Linked DNA regions of Macaca mulatta. The main gene of each other region encodes a partner of the protein of the gene in region 3 in a complex. Links are inferred from orthologs where the notes say so. Each region holds a gene or a part of one and is shown on either strand. Other genes may lie near its edges.

Region 1 (4,484 bases), on a different chromosome or scaffold from region 3:
GCTCAAGTGATCCTCCCATGTCAGCCTCCTGAGTAGCTGGGACTACAGGCACGTGCTGCCACACCCACCTGATTTTTCCATTTTTTGTAAGGACAGGGTTTCACCATGTTGCCCAGGCTGGTCTCAAACCCCTGGGCTCAGGTAATCTTTCTGCCTTGGCTTCCCAAAGTGCTGAGATTACAAGTGTGAGTCACCATACCCAGCAGAATTTTTAAGACTGGATCTAATAAAGTATGGTATCAAAAACTTGTTTTTAAGATGGGAGACATTTTTACCCCAATTCTCAGGAAAAAGTAAAGTTTAGAAAGGTCAAGAAACTTGCTTAACTTGCTTAAGGTCATAAGGCTAGACAGTGGGTCTAGACTCAAATTCAGGTTTGACTCCAAAGCTTACCATCTTTCCACATTTCCCTGCTGTCTCTGATTCATAGGATAATTAAGAAGGAGATAAAATACAAGTCATGTTTTCTGGTGAAACTGTAAGAGAATAACACTAATATCTTCATATATTGATACAGCCAAGGAGGAATAAGGTAAAACCAGCAGGATTGTAACAGATAGCTTGGTTCTGAGTGCTATGAACCACCTACCTTTATGTTTTATTGCAAATGGAATGATGCACATCAAATTCACTCCAGCAGACTTAATACTAAAAGAAAGGAAATTTATATGATCTGTCTATGGATGCTCTTACCCACCTTGCTTTTTTTGAAGTCAAAGCTTTATTTTCATTCAGCTTTCTCCCACCACTTTCTGTATCAGAATAAAAGATATTTTAGTGGGTTATTTCTATACATTTAACATAAAACATTAAGAAGTTCATTCTTTGACTTTCTACCAAAATAGTAGTCTGTATCTAATTTTTAAATCCTCATTTAGTAGGCTATTAAGACACTGCTTAAAAAGAAAACATTTATTAGGGAAACAGTAAAAATTTGTATAAAATACAATCATTTTATTTCTCAGACTCAAGGGAGTACTTTAGGAATGGGTCTATATTTACTCTATATAGTGTAAAATCTAGAAGCCACTACTTCAGTGTCATAGACCTTCAATATAATGAAAATGTTTATTTGTCTACGCTTTGAAAACATACTTTACTATATGTATTTAATAATAATGAAGGTAAATACTTCATTATAAAGATTTAATGATAATGAAGGTAAAATGGGTTAAAGCATTTATTTATTCAAGAATATAAAAATCAGAAGATTTAAAAAAATTTCTCCTCAGAAGAGTGGGGAAATTAAAAACAGACTCTAAATAAGCTGAATCAAATCAAATACTGTGATAATCAAATACTGTGATATTGTCACCACTTGACAATCATTTAATAATTTTGCTATCTCCTGATATTGGGAACCCATACAAGTAACTGAGAACTAAATAAAAGATATTAAATCACTTGGGGACCCAGTATTCTTTAACATTTAATAGATAAAATACTTTGAACATACAACATTTCATTGTACAAATAATGTAAAAGCTAAAATATAATTCACAGTAAGTATTTGGTTAAATTCCTATTTTCTAAAAGAAGAAATACCTGTGGTATTCCTAGCACCATCTTTCCATGTATCTGGAGTGATAACAGTACCAAGTTTCTTTTCACCTGTTAGAACAAGATAGTAAAAGGAAAATTAAAATTTACTATTTCATAAGTGCATTACATTGTGCCTAAGGCTCACAATGGTATCGACTATCAATGCTATTACCATAGGAGCCTGTTAATGCTGAGAAAGCAGCCAGTCAACTGAGACTCATATTAACTGTGGGCAATGAATGACTGACCGTCGGTAAAATTCGCAGGATAATAAGATGGCTTATAATAAGCTTTCACTGTTTGTTTATACTTTTAAAAAATCCAATAAGTCTATTTGTTCCATAAATATTTACTAAGCATCTATGATGTATAAACTATACAAAGTGCTGAGAAAAAGTGATGAATCAGACAAAATTTTAATGAGATTATAGTATACTAATTTCTTTAACAGCAATCTGTAACCTGGGTTCCCCAGGTGGATCTTAAGAGATATGTGAACAAGGTGGAGTTGTACACAAACCTTTTATATTTTCAGTTTTTTTTCCTGGCAAGAGGCTACAGTTTTCATCAGATTCTCAGAGGGATCAGAGACCGTCCCCCCAAAAAGAACCATTCAAACAAAATGTAAGCTAAAAAATAAAAGATATAATAATTGAGAACTAAAGTACTGGGAGAAATTCCAGGCAGGAAAAAATAACCCTGGCTAAGGAAATCCAAGAAAACAAAGTTTGGAGAGAAGGCAAGAGAGAGGATTTGAATATGTGGCAACAGGACTGTGAACAAAAAGGAGTAAAGAGGATGAACGCAAACTAGATAAAGGACACATTCTGAGGAAAGGCATAGAAAGCTTAGAGTACACATGGGCACAAAGAGTATTTTGTTTGGTCAAAGTGTGAAGAGGATGAGGGTCAGTGAAAATGAAGCTGGAAAAATAAGTTGGCGCCTTAGTGTGGAGGGTACTGAACGTCAGGTTCCAAATATAGAATCCCCAAATTATTCTCTGCACACTGAGAGTTTATTAAAGGATTTAAATTAGGGAAATAATAATTTGCACTTACGTTGATGTTCAATTCAAACATCTCTGGGTTTACTCTACGCCATATCCTGGCATAATGACTAATGAGAATGAATAAGGCAAAGTCCTAAGTCTTTGGTTCCAGTGTTTAACATTTGGCAGGAGTACAATACTTGTTACACGAATAAAAAGGAAAGGACAGGAATTGCCAAGAGGGAAAGGTGTCGCTGGGGTTTAACTGAACATTTTTATATGGGAGGGGAGCCGATGAGATCTGGGGCTGGGGGAAGGCAATGGAAATAGAGAGGGAGGTGCAGAACTGAGACCATTCTGAGTACAAAATACATAGGACTGTATGGTCGTTGGGGAGGTGCAAAAATGGTCAAAGGGTAGGGTAGAAAGACAGCGGCTAGAATCAGAGACCTGTGGGCGAAAAAAACAAAGAGAAGGCAAAGTTCCCGGGAGGGCTCAGTTAGATTATCCCAGCCTCCTCCTCCCGCAGAAGCAGCCCCTTAACTCACATTTTTCGCACACCATCCTTCCCCACGACAGTTCCCCTAGCCGCAACAGGAGCAGCAGGAGCCTGAAAACATCAACACTGTAACTGGGAAGTATTCCCCTTCCGGGCTACGTCAATCCACTTCCGGCTTCTAAGCCCACCGCTCCCGCCTACCCCAAACCTGGAAAGCCGCGGGAGGAATGAACGCGAGCGGCTAGGTGGGGCTGCCCCATTTGCCCGCCCCTCCCTTTCTGCGACTGGCTGTTCGGCCGTGGGTGTCCGCCCCACAACCCTGCGTCTGCGCGTGGGCCTGGGCCTCCTGTCGTACCTGATGGTGGGAGGCAGTAGTTCCCCGCTTCCCTTCCGCGGGCGGGAAAGTTAGGTAAGCCCCGCTGGACTTCCCAGGCGCTCTCGCCTCCCGGGGTGCAAGCCACCCCCGCGAATTGCCGAAGCAGCCCTGAGCCTCGGCGCCCCGGCCCGCCCGCTCTCGCCGTCAGCTCGAGCGCCACTCTTCCGGCGTGCCCTGATGGACAGACCCCCTTTCGGATCCGAGTTTTTGCCTCTGTCCCCCAGTTTTTCTTTGTCTCCAACTCCCGAGCTCTTTGATCCTGCTTCTCAGCTGGTTCCTCGCTGCCCACGCTCGCGCCGGCCTAGGGTCGGGCAGAATTCCCAGCGACCAGGGTTGGGGTGGAGCTGCCGGTGGAGGTGCGGCGATGCCCGTGAAGGCTCCTCTGGGGGCCGCTCTGAAGAGCCTTCTCTCCGCTGCGGTGCCTGGGGAGGTGGGCCGCGTCATGCCCGTGGCACCCCTGCAGGCGCCCTGGGGGCACGCCAGGGCCTAACACGGTGCTGGTTTCCCAGGAGAGTTGGTTTCCCACTTTGCCTACTTTGGTTCCTTCATTCACTCAGCAAACGGTTGAGTTTGGTAACTGCTCACTGTATTACATCCACATCTGATGGCAGCTGCGATTCCGAGGGTGGCTCAGAAAAATGGCTGAAGGGCTATCTGTTGAGAGAATGGATTCCTGATCCCCTTGCCCTCCCTCAATCAGCTTAAGAGAATCTATGGGAAAGTTTACCTTTGTCCCTTCTTGCCATCCGTTTGCTTCTTCATGCCTAGTGTATTTCCTTAGAGAGAGAGCTGTAGCGCGTGGGACCTTGGACCACCTCACCTGTTTGCCTTGTTTCCTTATCAGTAAAATATCTGCCTTTGAAAAGCACTGGGTGAATTAAATGAGAGCTATTAGGATAAGGCCCAGGTTCGCCCTTCTGCTTTTCGCACTAGCGGGCGCCCCTCCCGCGCGCGCGCCCACGTGTATGTGTGTGTGTGTGTGTGTGTATGTATAGTATTTTTTTTCTGAGATATTTCTATTTTCTGGAATATTCTCCATAGTGTAACATATTGACTGTTACTTTAAATTAATAAAGTCC
Region 2 (4,502 bases), on a different chromosome or scaffold from region 3:
TATTTGGTTCTCTAGAGACCAAACTTGTTCTTAAAAGTCCCACAAAATAATACTTTTTGTTTTAAAATCAACTATAAAGTTTAGCACTGAGGTCAGGGTTATATTTGAATAACAGCAAGCAAATATATGTCACTTCTTAAAGCCAAAGGCATAACAAGTATTTCAGAAAAACATGGTAAATCAATTATTAGAGATGAAAGGAGAAAACAAAACATACATCTGTTAGAGGGTCATCTGCATCAAGGTTGGCAGCAGGAATCTGGTCTAACCGTGGCTTTTTTGACACTGAAGAGGAGGTTGTATGTTCTGAGGGGAAACAAAAATCACTTAACTTAGTAAAACAAATACTGCATTTCTTAAAATGTTTTAGGGACCTGTGGGCACGAGGAGCCCACACTGAAAGCATTATCCACAGTGAAATCACATCCACAGTGCCTGGGCAAATAAGCCTTTGGTAAATATTTGTTATTGTTATCTCTAATGACTTAAGAAAGTATTACAGCTCACATCAATCTGTAAAAGCAAACAAATGGTTAATATTTTCCAGTTGCTACATAAAAGAAAAACTATCAACAACATAATTTTAGAGATAAATGTCTTGGATAGTGTTGGTACCTCGGGTTGGACGATCTCTGTTTTTCTCTCTTGCAGCAGCTCTCTCTCTTTCTTCCAACTCTCTCCTGAAGTCACGGTTACGAACCTCTTCAGGGGCATCCTGAGTAGTTTGTCTAAAGTAGAAACAAACCAGGGCAAAAATGGTACTTAAACACACACACACATACACACACACACGACTGTGGTAATGGAAGACAATTCAGGAATGAGACTTTGTCCTTCAAGCATAAAAAAGGGAAGTAGATAAGATCATAATCTAATCTGAAAGTTACTAACAGCCACTCTTGTGATGTTCCCAATATTTCAAGAAGTCCAAATTCAATCACGCATTTTCCTATAATAAGGCTTTACGTGATTAAAATGTCTTTAATTTTTATTGGTATTATCAACTCAGAACTTAACAGTAATACTTTTAATATATTGACTGGTGCTGATAGTGCATAATCTCTCTGAGGCATTATTATTTCTGTTATTTATTGTTGTATCTACATACGAAAATTTCTGGTTAGTAGGAATTTTGCATTTTAAAACCACAGGGCAGAATTTTAGTGTTAAACATCCTATTGCATTCTAATCCTATGATAATAGATAAGTGACATAACTCGAACATACTACTATATCATGACCATGCCATTTAACAGATTTGGTCTTGTTTTGTGAACAAGAAAAAAAAGAGGCTGGGCGCGGTGGCTCAAGCCTGTAATCCCAGCACTTTGGGAGGCCGAGATGGGCAGATCACAAGGTCAGGAGATCGAGACCATCCTGGCTAACACGGTGAAACCCCGTCTCTACTAAAAAATACAAAAACCTAGCCGGGGCAGGTGGCCGGCGTCTGTAGTCCCAGCTACTCGGGAGGCTGAGGCAGGAGAATGGCGTGAACCCAGGAGGTGGAGCTTGCAGTGGGCTGAGATCCGGCCACTGCACTCCAGTCTGGGCGACAAAGCGAGACTCTGTCTCAACAAAAAAAAAAAAGAAAGAAAAAAAAGAAAGTCTTACTACCTGTATTTTATCTTTGTGTGAGAGGGTAGGTCTCTGCTTGAATACTGCTTTGAAAGTTGGCTCAAATCACCTTCTCCTTTTCCCCTTCCACCTCTTGCAGGTTCAAAGGTTGGCCTGGCTGCTGTTGTCATCTTTTATGCTTTGAAGAAAAATATAATCAAGTTATTTACAACAATACAAACACTCATTTTACAGAGTATTAATATCCATACTAGTGAAATAAATTCTAAAACTCATTCCCCTAAACCTGCTTAATCTTCTTAAACAAAAGTTTTCAGGAAAACAAATTATGAGGCTTAGGCCATACAACGAATAGGGCTTCTCAGGCTTGTCTTAGTACAAAAAATTCTGTCATGAAGATCTGAGTTTGCATCCCTATTCTCCTTCTGACTATATGGGCTTGAGCAAGTCACCTGGCTTAACTTTCTGTCATCCGTGGAATGGAGATATTCCTCATAGGATTACTATAAGAATTATGACACTTGACATGTCAAAAGCCTTGAAAAATACAGTACCACCATGACTAAGTTTTAAAAATTTCCAACTCAACCTTACTCTACCAGACTCTCTAAGGTTTGCATTTTATCTAAACTTCACACAATAGCAAATAGGCTAGTAGAAACAAAAGCTAAAAACAAACAAAAAATATCACTGACAAAGTTACTAAGTGTCTGAGAAAAAAGTTACTAAGGAAAGTGTGTTAAACTTCAATGACAGGTACATAGAAAAAAATTCTTAACCTTTTGTTGAGCCAATTTTCTCCTACAACAGGCATCATATTATAAATCAGATCGTTTGTGGGTTATAACTTAAGGACTGTTCAAAAAAAACAAAAACAAAAACAAAACAGGAACCTCAGCCCCAGAGGATTCTGATGACAAAAATCAGGGACCCATTCCTTAAGTTACTTTCTGCTTGGAGCAGTCACAAGAATACTGCCTAGCAGATGCAGTCATTAAAACCCTGTTAGTGTCGGAAAAGCAAGTGTGTGGGGAGGGTGGGCGAACTGGGAGGATTTTTTTGGGGGGGGGGAGTGCTTTCTCCTAATTTTCAAAAAGAGTAAGAGACATGTATACAAAGAAGAAACGGGGTTATCTGGAGCTGGGAGTCCGCCCCTTCCCACACACTAACGGAATTATCACTCCGGCCTCTCGTGAGCTAGTCTTTGGCTATAACCAGAAACTCGTTGCCCCTTAACCCGTGCCCAGCGCCGCAGGGGTGCGAGGGGTAGTGAAAGGAGGACCTGGGGTTCGCTTTACGCGGTAGGCGCGCTGCCTTTTATGCTGCGATCTCCTCTGCGGCCCGAGAGCTCCGGACGCGCCTGACAGGCACTCCGTTTCGCCCCTAGCCCGCTGCTCTAGGTCCTCCACCGCCCGCACTCTGCACTCTGCCGCCGACTCCGACCCCAACTGCCCTTTCCCGTCCCACCGGGATGAGGAAGATAACCTATCCTCCTGCCGCTCACACTGGCCGAGGTCCGATGCAGCAATCTCCGAAGATCATACAGACGCCATTACGACTCCGGGCTCCCAGAAACCTCTGCGCCCAGGGCTAGCGCCTACGACCCGGAAGCAAAATCCAAGCGCTTCGGAGGCGGAAGCAACGACCAATCCGCAGTGGCCGAAGTGGAAGTCGGCGTAACGGCACTAAGGGGCGGGGCCGAAACGGCCCAGGGGGCGGGCGTTTGAAATCAGTGCCTTAGAGTAGACCCTAAATATCATTTTATACCTTCAAGAACCAATTACTTAATGTCTCTTCCGTCTTTTCCGTCCCCGACCCCCTCCCAGACTCCTTCATTCCGGTACTGCGTGGACGGAAAGCCCCGGGTAGCCGACACCACGTCCCCGGCTAGCGGGAGAGAGCGTGGAAAAGGATTACACCAAACTGTTTAAATCCAACGACTCCTGCTTCCATCCTTTCTCCTGAGCTAGAACCAACAAACCTAGAGAGTTGGGCTTCGGAAAAACTAGTGTTTTCATTTAATTGGATATGAAGAAAGAACAAATATGTACGGGGCAACCACGATCTTTACAAAGGTACATTCCTGCAAAAATATTAACACTTCAAAGCAAAGGTTGTATTCGTAATGTTTGCTAAAATTTTTTATTTAAAAAACGTTAGTTTTAGTGGGAGGGGAGATGTCAATATTTACGACAGCGTTTAGAACGGTGGGCCCAACTGCCAGGAGCACAAGATGTAATTACTAAGATGGCTACTTAAGTGTTAAGTTTTAATAAGAACGAAAAGGAGAAAACCCAAAAACCAAAAACCCACCAATCCTGTCTCCTCCCTTCCATAAAAAAAAATCCTGAGAACAGAGATCTTGATTGTTTAGCTAATCTTAGTATCTCATCACATAGACCTTGACATATAGTAGCTGCTCAATTAATATTTGTTAAACAAATGAAAATTCAACTTCCCCAACTTAGTTTAAAATATAAAGAACTCACAAAGTTGAATATTTAAATGCTTTCTTACCTCTAAATTCTTTGCAACTTTTAAATGAAGAAAGAAAAGCAGAAAAAGCCCTTTCACTCATAGAGTTCAAGATGAAAATCTTGATTTTTCTTACTAAAGGTATCCCTCCTCCAGTCTTACACGTCTCACTAAAGGACACGATCATCATACTAGTTACTCAAACCAAAATCCCAGAGTGCCTACTTAAATTCCTTTTCTTTCACTTTTCACATACGGTTCATTTACAGGTCTTACCAATTCTACTTTTAAAACTTACCCGAAATTTTATTCTACTGCCATTACCCTTGTCCTGGCCAACACCATCTCCTACCTGGATTGTAATTGTTTCCTATTGTATCTTCCTGCGTCATCTTTTATCCTACAGTCAATGCTGCATATAGCCAAGAGAGTGATCTTTTAAAATTAATCAA
Region 3 (4,801 bases):
AAACAAGCACACGTGCTAGCTGATCATCACTCAATGCAAGTAGAACTAAACAGCTCCAAGAGGGAAGGCTGAGTAGAAGTACACAAAGGGGTAGAAATTATAGGCTGCACCTGCTGTGAACCTTGCAACATCCACAAGTTGAAGGAAGCAATCTTTGTCCCTGCCAGGGCCCTCCACTCGTGTGGGTTGCCCAGGTTCTCTATCACAGCCTTCTTCTCACGGGTATTGCCCAATTCCTTTCCCATGGCTTGCTGCCCCATAAGTGGCCCAACCACTCAGCCAGGGCCCTCTGTCCATGGATGGCCCTACCATCCTGCCATAGCAATCCCTCTGCCAGTGTATGCTACCTGTGTTTGCTTGGCCAGCCCCTTTTGCCATGGTCTGCTACCTGTACATGCTGTCCAACTTCTCTGAAACAGTACTATGCTCTGAAGGCCTACAAAACCCAAATGTAGTGGTCCTTTGCACCTGTGCCAAGATCCTCTGGCCCTGTGGACTAACTGTGCTGTTTACCTCTGGGGTTGCAGGCCAGCTGCCCAGCCCCTCTCCTACTAGCTGCTACTACCAGTATGAGCCACCAACACCCTCTCCCACCAAATGCTGCTGCCAACACCTCAGCAGAATGAAGAATATACAGATCTCCTATTCATTCTTGTTCCTCGTCAGGCTGTGATTCTCAGCCTCCAGGTAGAGATTGGCTTTGCTCACTAACCTTACATTCATTGAGAATCAAAGAAAGCAAACTACAACCTTCTTTCTGTTTTTCATCCCAATTCCTCTGTGGTTTGCCCCAGTCGTATGATGCCACACAGGCAAGGACCAGAAGGGCCCTGTGACCATGGGTTACCCCTAGTTTGCAAGAGCCCAAGGAGGCGTACCAATATGGAACCTTCCTGAGGGTTCCAGTCTGTTCCAGTCTAGGCCCAGGCTGAACAAACCTCAGTGAAAAACAACAGAAATAGACTAGAATCCCCAAGATGGCCTCCCAAATTAACAAACCTCTTGGATCTCCCACAGGAGAACATTCTAGAACCATGTCCTGGGACTGATCTAGACTAGAGCAGAAGCTCCAGCCCTCCCCATGCAGGGACGCCATTCAGCCTAGAGTGAAAATAAGTGGTTTTTGTGATGCCACAAAATGCATTACAGAAAAAAGTACTCTGTCGACTCAGGAGGCAGGAAATGAAAGGGGACTTACTGTGAGAACACACAGATGATGTCCCCTTCAGTCAGTTCATAAGGAAGCCCTCCTAGAAAAGAAAACCACATTTCAGTTCCACCAACATTTACCAAGTGTTTACTACGTACCATGCACTAGGCCAGGCACTAGGGGTGCAAACAGTAAGCAACAGGCCCTGCCCTTAAAGAAATCAAGTCTGGGCTGGGCACCATGGCTCACGCCTGTAATCCCAGCACTTTGGGAGGCCAAGGCGGGTGGATCACCTGAGGTCAGGAGTTCGAGACCAGCCTGGTCAACATGGCGAAACCCCGTCTCTACTAAAACTACAAAAAAAATTAGCCGGGCGAGGTGGCGGGCACCTGTAATCCCAGCTACTCAGGAGGCTTAAGCAGGAGACTCGCTTGAACCCAGGAGGCAGAGGTTGTAGTGAGCCGAGATCACGTCACTGCACTCCAGCCTGGACAACAAGAGTGAAACTCCAACTCAAAAAAAAAAAAAAAAAAAGAAAGAAAGAAATCAAGTCTGATGCAATGACAGAAGTACATGTAAGGTGCCAGTAGAACAGGAAAAGGAGTGACTAATTTTGAGTGGAAGTCAGTGTCACCACTAACAAAAGTAAACTGATCACTCAGTCCTCCTGGCACCCAAAATCCTATGGGCAAAGCAGATAGTTTCCATCACAAACCTCTGCTTCCACAAACATGTTGAATTCATCTGCTCATTACCCACAAATTTACAGCTATGATACAAAATTAGTCTACATATGTCATGATTAACCCCACCTACACATAGACAAAGGTTATAAAGACACTGTTAAGCATTTCCTAGGGAATAATTTCCCTTCCAAATGTTTCTTTCCTCATCTGTAAGATGGGGATATTAGCAGGTAACTCGCAAGACTGTTATAAGAGTTAAATAAAACGATGCATATAAAGTGCTTAGCACAACGTTTTTACAATAACCTCTTTGAAGCATCAAACTTGTACAATTACTGGTTGTGATATAAAGTGAATACAGTAATGGTAGTGTGGCCATGGTCAGAAAGCAGGAGCTAGAGGAGCAAAGTGAATTCTGCAAGGGAAGGGGAATGGGGGAGGGCGGTGGTAGCAATATGGGGCTGTGGCTAAGACCATGAGTTCTAGAAAGCTATAGTTCTGCCTGTTGCGGTTATTAGCTATGTGACCTTAAGGAAGTCCCTTAACTTCTCTGCACCCCAATTTCCTCAGCTGTAATAACGGGTCAGGGGGTGAGAGAGAAATAACAACAGTCCCTGAACCTTAGCACAGCAAATGGCAAACAGTAACTCTCATGAGCACTGATTTGGCTGGGAAGGAAAACTAAAAATGGGGCAGAAAAAAAAAAAAAAAAAAAAAAGATGGAACACGGATTCCCGGGCAGACAGCAGATGGATATAAAGGAGGGCAATGAATGTAAGCAGGAGTGAAGGGTGAAAATGCTGAAATAGTCGGACACCGAGCAGGAGAATCTTGGGAGCACTGCGGAAGAAAGATGTGCACCTCACCCAGGAAGATCCAGGCGCTGTCCTTGTACTCGGAGTGCCAGGACACTTTATCGGCCACCCCAAGCTGGACCTCTCGTTCATTCAGCTCGTTGATCAGCTTCACCTTAGTTAAAGGACTTCACGGTGGCGGGGGGGAGGGGAGGCAGAAAAGCAGACAAGTAAATGCTAACCGGCCGAAGCTGAAGAAGAGCAAAACAAGGGGACGAGCTGTGCTAGTCCCCGCGCCTCTCCCGCCCCTCGACCCCGCAGACGCTCTACCACCCCAGCCCCGGTAGACCACCCTCAGCGGCCCGCTGCTCGTTCCTCAAAAGGAAGCTGACGCCTTACTTCATCTCCGCGGGCTCGCGCTCAGCATTCAGGAATCAGCGCCCGGGAAAGGCAGCGCCACGCATGCGCGGCCCCGGCGCCGGTGGCTCGTCGAGTCGGTGACCTCGCGCCGGAAGAGCTGGGGCGTACCGGGGCGTGGCGCCTGCGCACTAGAAGCCTTCCGCGTTCTTTGCAGTTACCTCTTGTAGAAACGGTTTTTCTCTAATTTTTCGCTTTTTCTCCTCTGTGAAATGGGGTAAAGGCACGAGCCTGGGCTGTTGCAGGACCCCCAGCTCTTGAACGATATCGGAAACTGGTTAGATTAGCTATAAATATTTGCTGAATGAACGGAATAAGCAGCCTGATGTGGCGACTTTAGTCTCAGCCCTCGCTCCCAGTCCAGAGTCCCACTTGGACCTTCGCTCCTAGTCAGTTGCTCACGCACAGACCCATCAAAGCATCCCTGTCATGGCAGAAAAGTGAAGAAGATAGGTGAAAAGGTAAATCTTCTGTTGTTCTTATCCCAATACATAGGCAACAGACCAGTGTGCCTCTATAGGCTGAATTGAATACCTACAGATTTGCATGAGAGCCGCTGCACTTACTCTTTTCCATAGGCTCTCTCCTAGTTGAGCAGGAGACAGAAATTAATATTGTTAAATTAATAGCTAGCAAGTGAGCAGATGATGTACTGTATGATACTAGAGTATGTGCTAAGCAATTTACATGTATTGTCTCTCCACCCTCACAACAACCCAATGAAGCAGATAAAATTACAATTCCTGGCCGGGCGCAGCAGCTCATGCCTGTAATCCCAGCACTTTGGGAAGCTGAGGTAGGAGGATTGCTTGAACTCAGGAGTTTGAGACCAGCCTGGGCAACATAGCAGAACCTGTCTCTAAAATAAAGGAAAAAGGGGGGGGCCAGGTGTGGTGGCTCACACCTGTCATCCCAACACTTTGGGAGGCTAAGGCAGGTGGATCACCTGAGGTCAGGAGTTCAAGACCTACCCAGCCAACATGGTGAAACTCTGTCTCCTCTAAAAATACAAAAATTAGCTAGGCATGGTGGCACACGCCTGTAATCCCAGCTACTCGGGAGGCTGGGGCAGGAGAATCACTTGAACCTGGGAGGCAAAGGTTGCAGTGAGCTGAGATCGCACCACTGCACTCCACCCTGGGCAGCAGAGCGAGACTCCTTGTTTTAAAAAAAAAAGAAAGAGAAAGTAAAAGAAATTTCCACCCTCGTTTTGTAGAGGAAGAAATGAGGCTCAAATGAATAAATTAACTAGAAAGGTACTAGAGTACCTGCACCCAGTAGGTCAGGTTGATTCAATCAGTCCTTACTGAACATCTAGATTTGTCCTGTGCAGCTAAGGTCTGTAGACAGGAGTATCAGGGTGGGTCCTCTGCCCTCAAGGAGCTAATATTATAATTAAGGGGACAAGATATATTTGCCTGATAGATTTCAACCAGAAATATCTAGAAACCAGTGGAAGAGATGATTAACATATAATATGTGATTTAACCCATATTGACAGTTTGAATCCATTTTGCACATGTCCACATCAGTACCTGCTCTTGGACCATGATGTTCTAAAAGTAAAAGTCCAGAGCTGTGTGGCCTATCTCAGAGCACCAGATATTAGGTCCTTCATAAAAACATTTTGATGACGATACCAACTGTACCCTCAAGTGGCCCACCATGTAACCAATGTCCTGCCAAAAAGGAGAACAGAGCCTGCCCACCAATGACAGTTTCTCCTCATTCATTCTATGTCTGTTCCCCCTTCC

The links. Proteins that work in one complex are often made in the same cells at the same time.
Region 1: RBMX2 (region 3) and CRIPT share a complex: the UniProt entries of both Homo sapiens proteins name them as parts of the minor spliceosome. The link is inferred for Macaca mulatta from reciprocal best matches to the Homo sapiens genes RBMX2 and CRIPT.
Region 2: RBMX2 (region 3) and CWC15 share a complex: the UniProt entries of both Homo sapiens proteins name them as parts of the minor spliceosome. The link is inferred for Macaca mulatta from reciprocal best matches to the Homo sapiens genes RBMX2 and CWC15.

Annotation. Positions count from the first base shown.
Region 1 is NC_133418.1:78,216,153-78,220,636, forward strand, and holds the start of CRIPT (cysteine-rich PDZ-binding protein), read right to left. Parts: upstream 3,173-4,484; 5' UTR 3,095-3,172; coding exon 3,079-3,094; intron 1,612-3,078; coding exon 1,546-1,611; intron 753-1,545; coding exon 698-752; intron 1-697. UniProt on the Homo sapiens protein: As a component of the minor spliceosome, involved in the splicing of U12-type introns in pre-mRNAs. Involved in the cytoskeletal anchoring of DLG4 in excitatory synapses.
Region 2 is NC_133419.1:95,762,364-95,766,865, forward strand, and holds the start of CWC15 (spliceosome-associated protein CWC15 homolog), read right to left. Parts: upstream 3,173-4,502; 5' UTR 3,080-3,172; exon of another isoform or gene 3,061-3,079; intron 1,754-3,060; 5' UTR 1,746-1,753; coding exon 1,615-1,745; intron 729-1,614; coding exon 616-728; intron 307-615; coding exon 218-306; intron 1-217. UniProt on the Homo sapiens protein: Involved in pre-mRNA splicing as component of the spliceosome. Component of the PRP19-CDC5L complex that forms an integral part of the spliceosome and is required for activating pre-mRNA splicing.
Region 3 is NC_133426.1:136,863,112-136,867,912, reverse strand, and holds the start of RBMX2 (RNA-binding motif protein, X-linked 2), read right to left. Parts: upstream 3,050-4,801; 5' UTR 3,035-3,049; coding exon 3,030-3,034; intron 2,819-3,029; coding exon 2,703-2,818; intron 1,251-2,702; coding exon 1,199-1,250; intron 1-1,198. UniProt on the Homo sapiens protein: Involved in pre-mRNA splicing as component of the activated spliceosome. As a component of the minor spliceosome, involved in the splicing of U12-type introns in pre-mRNAs.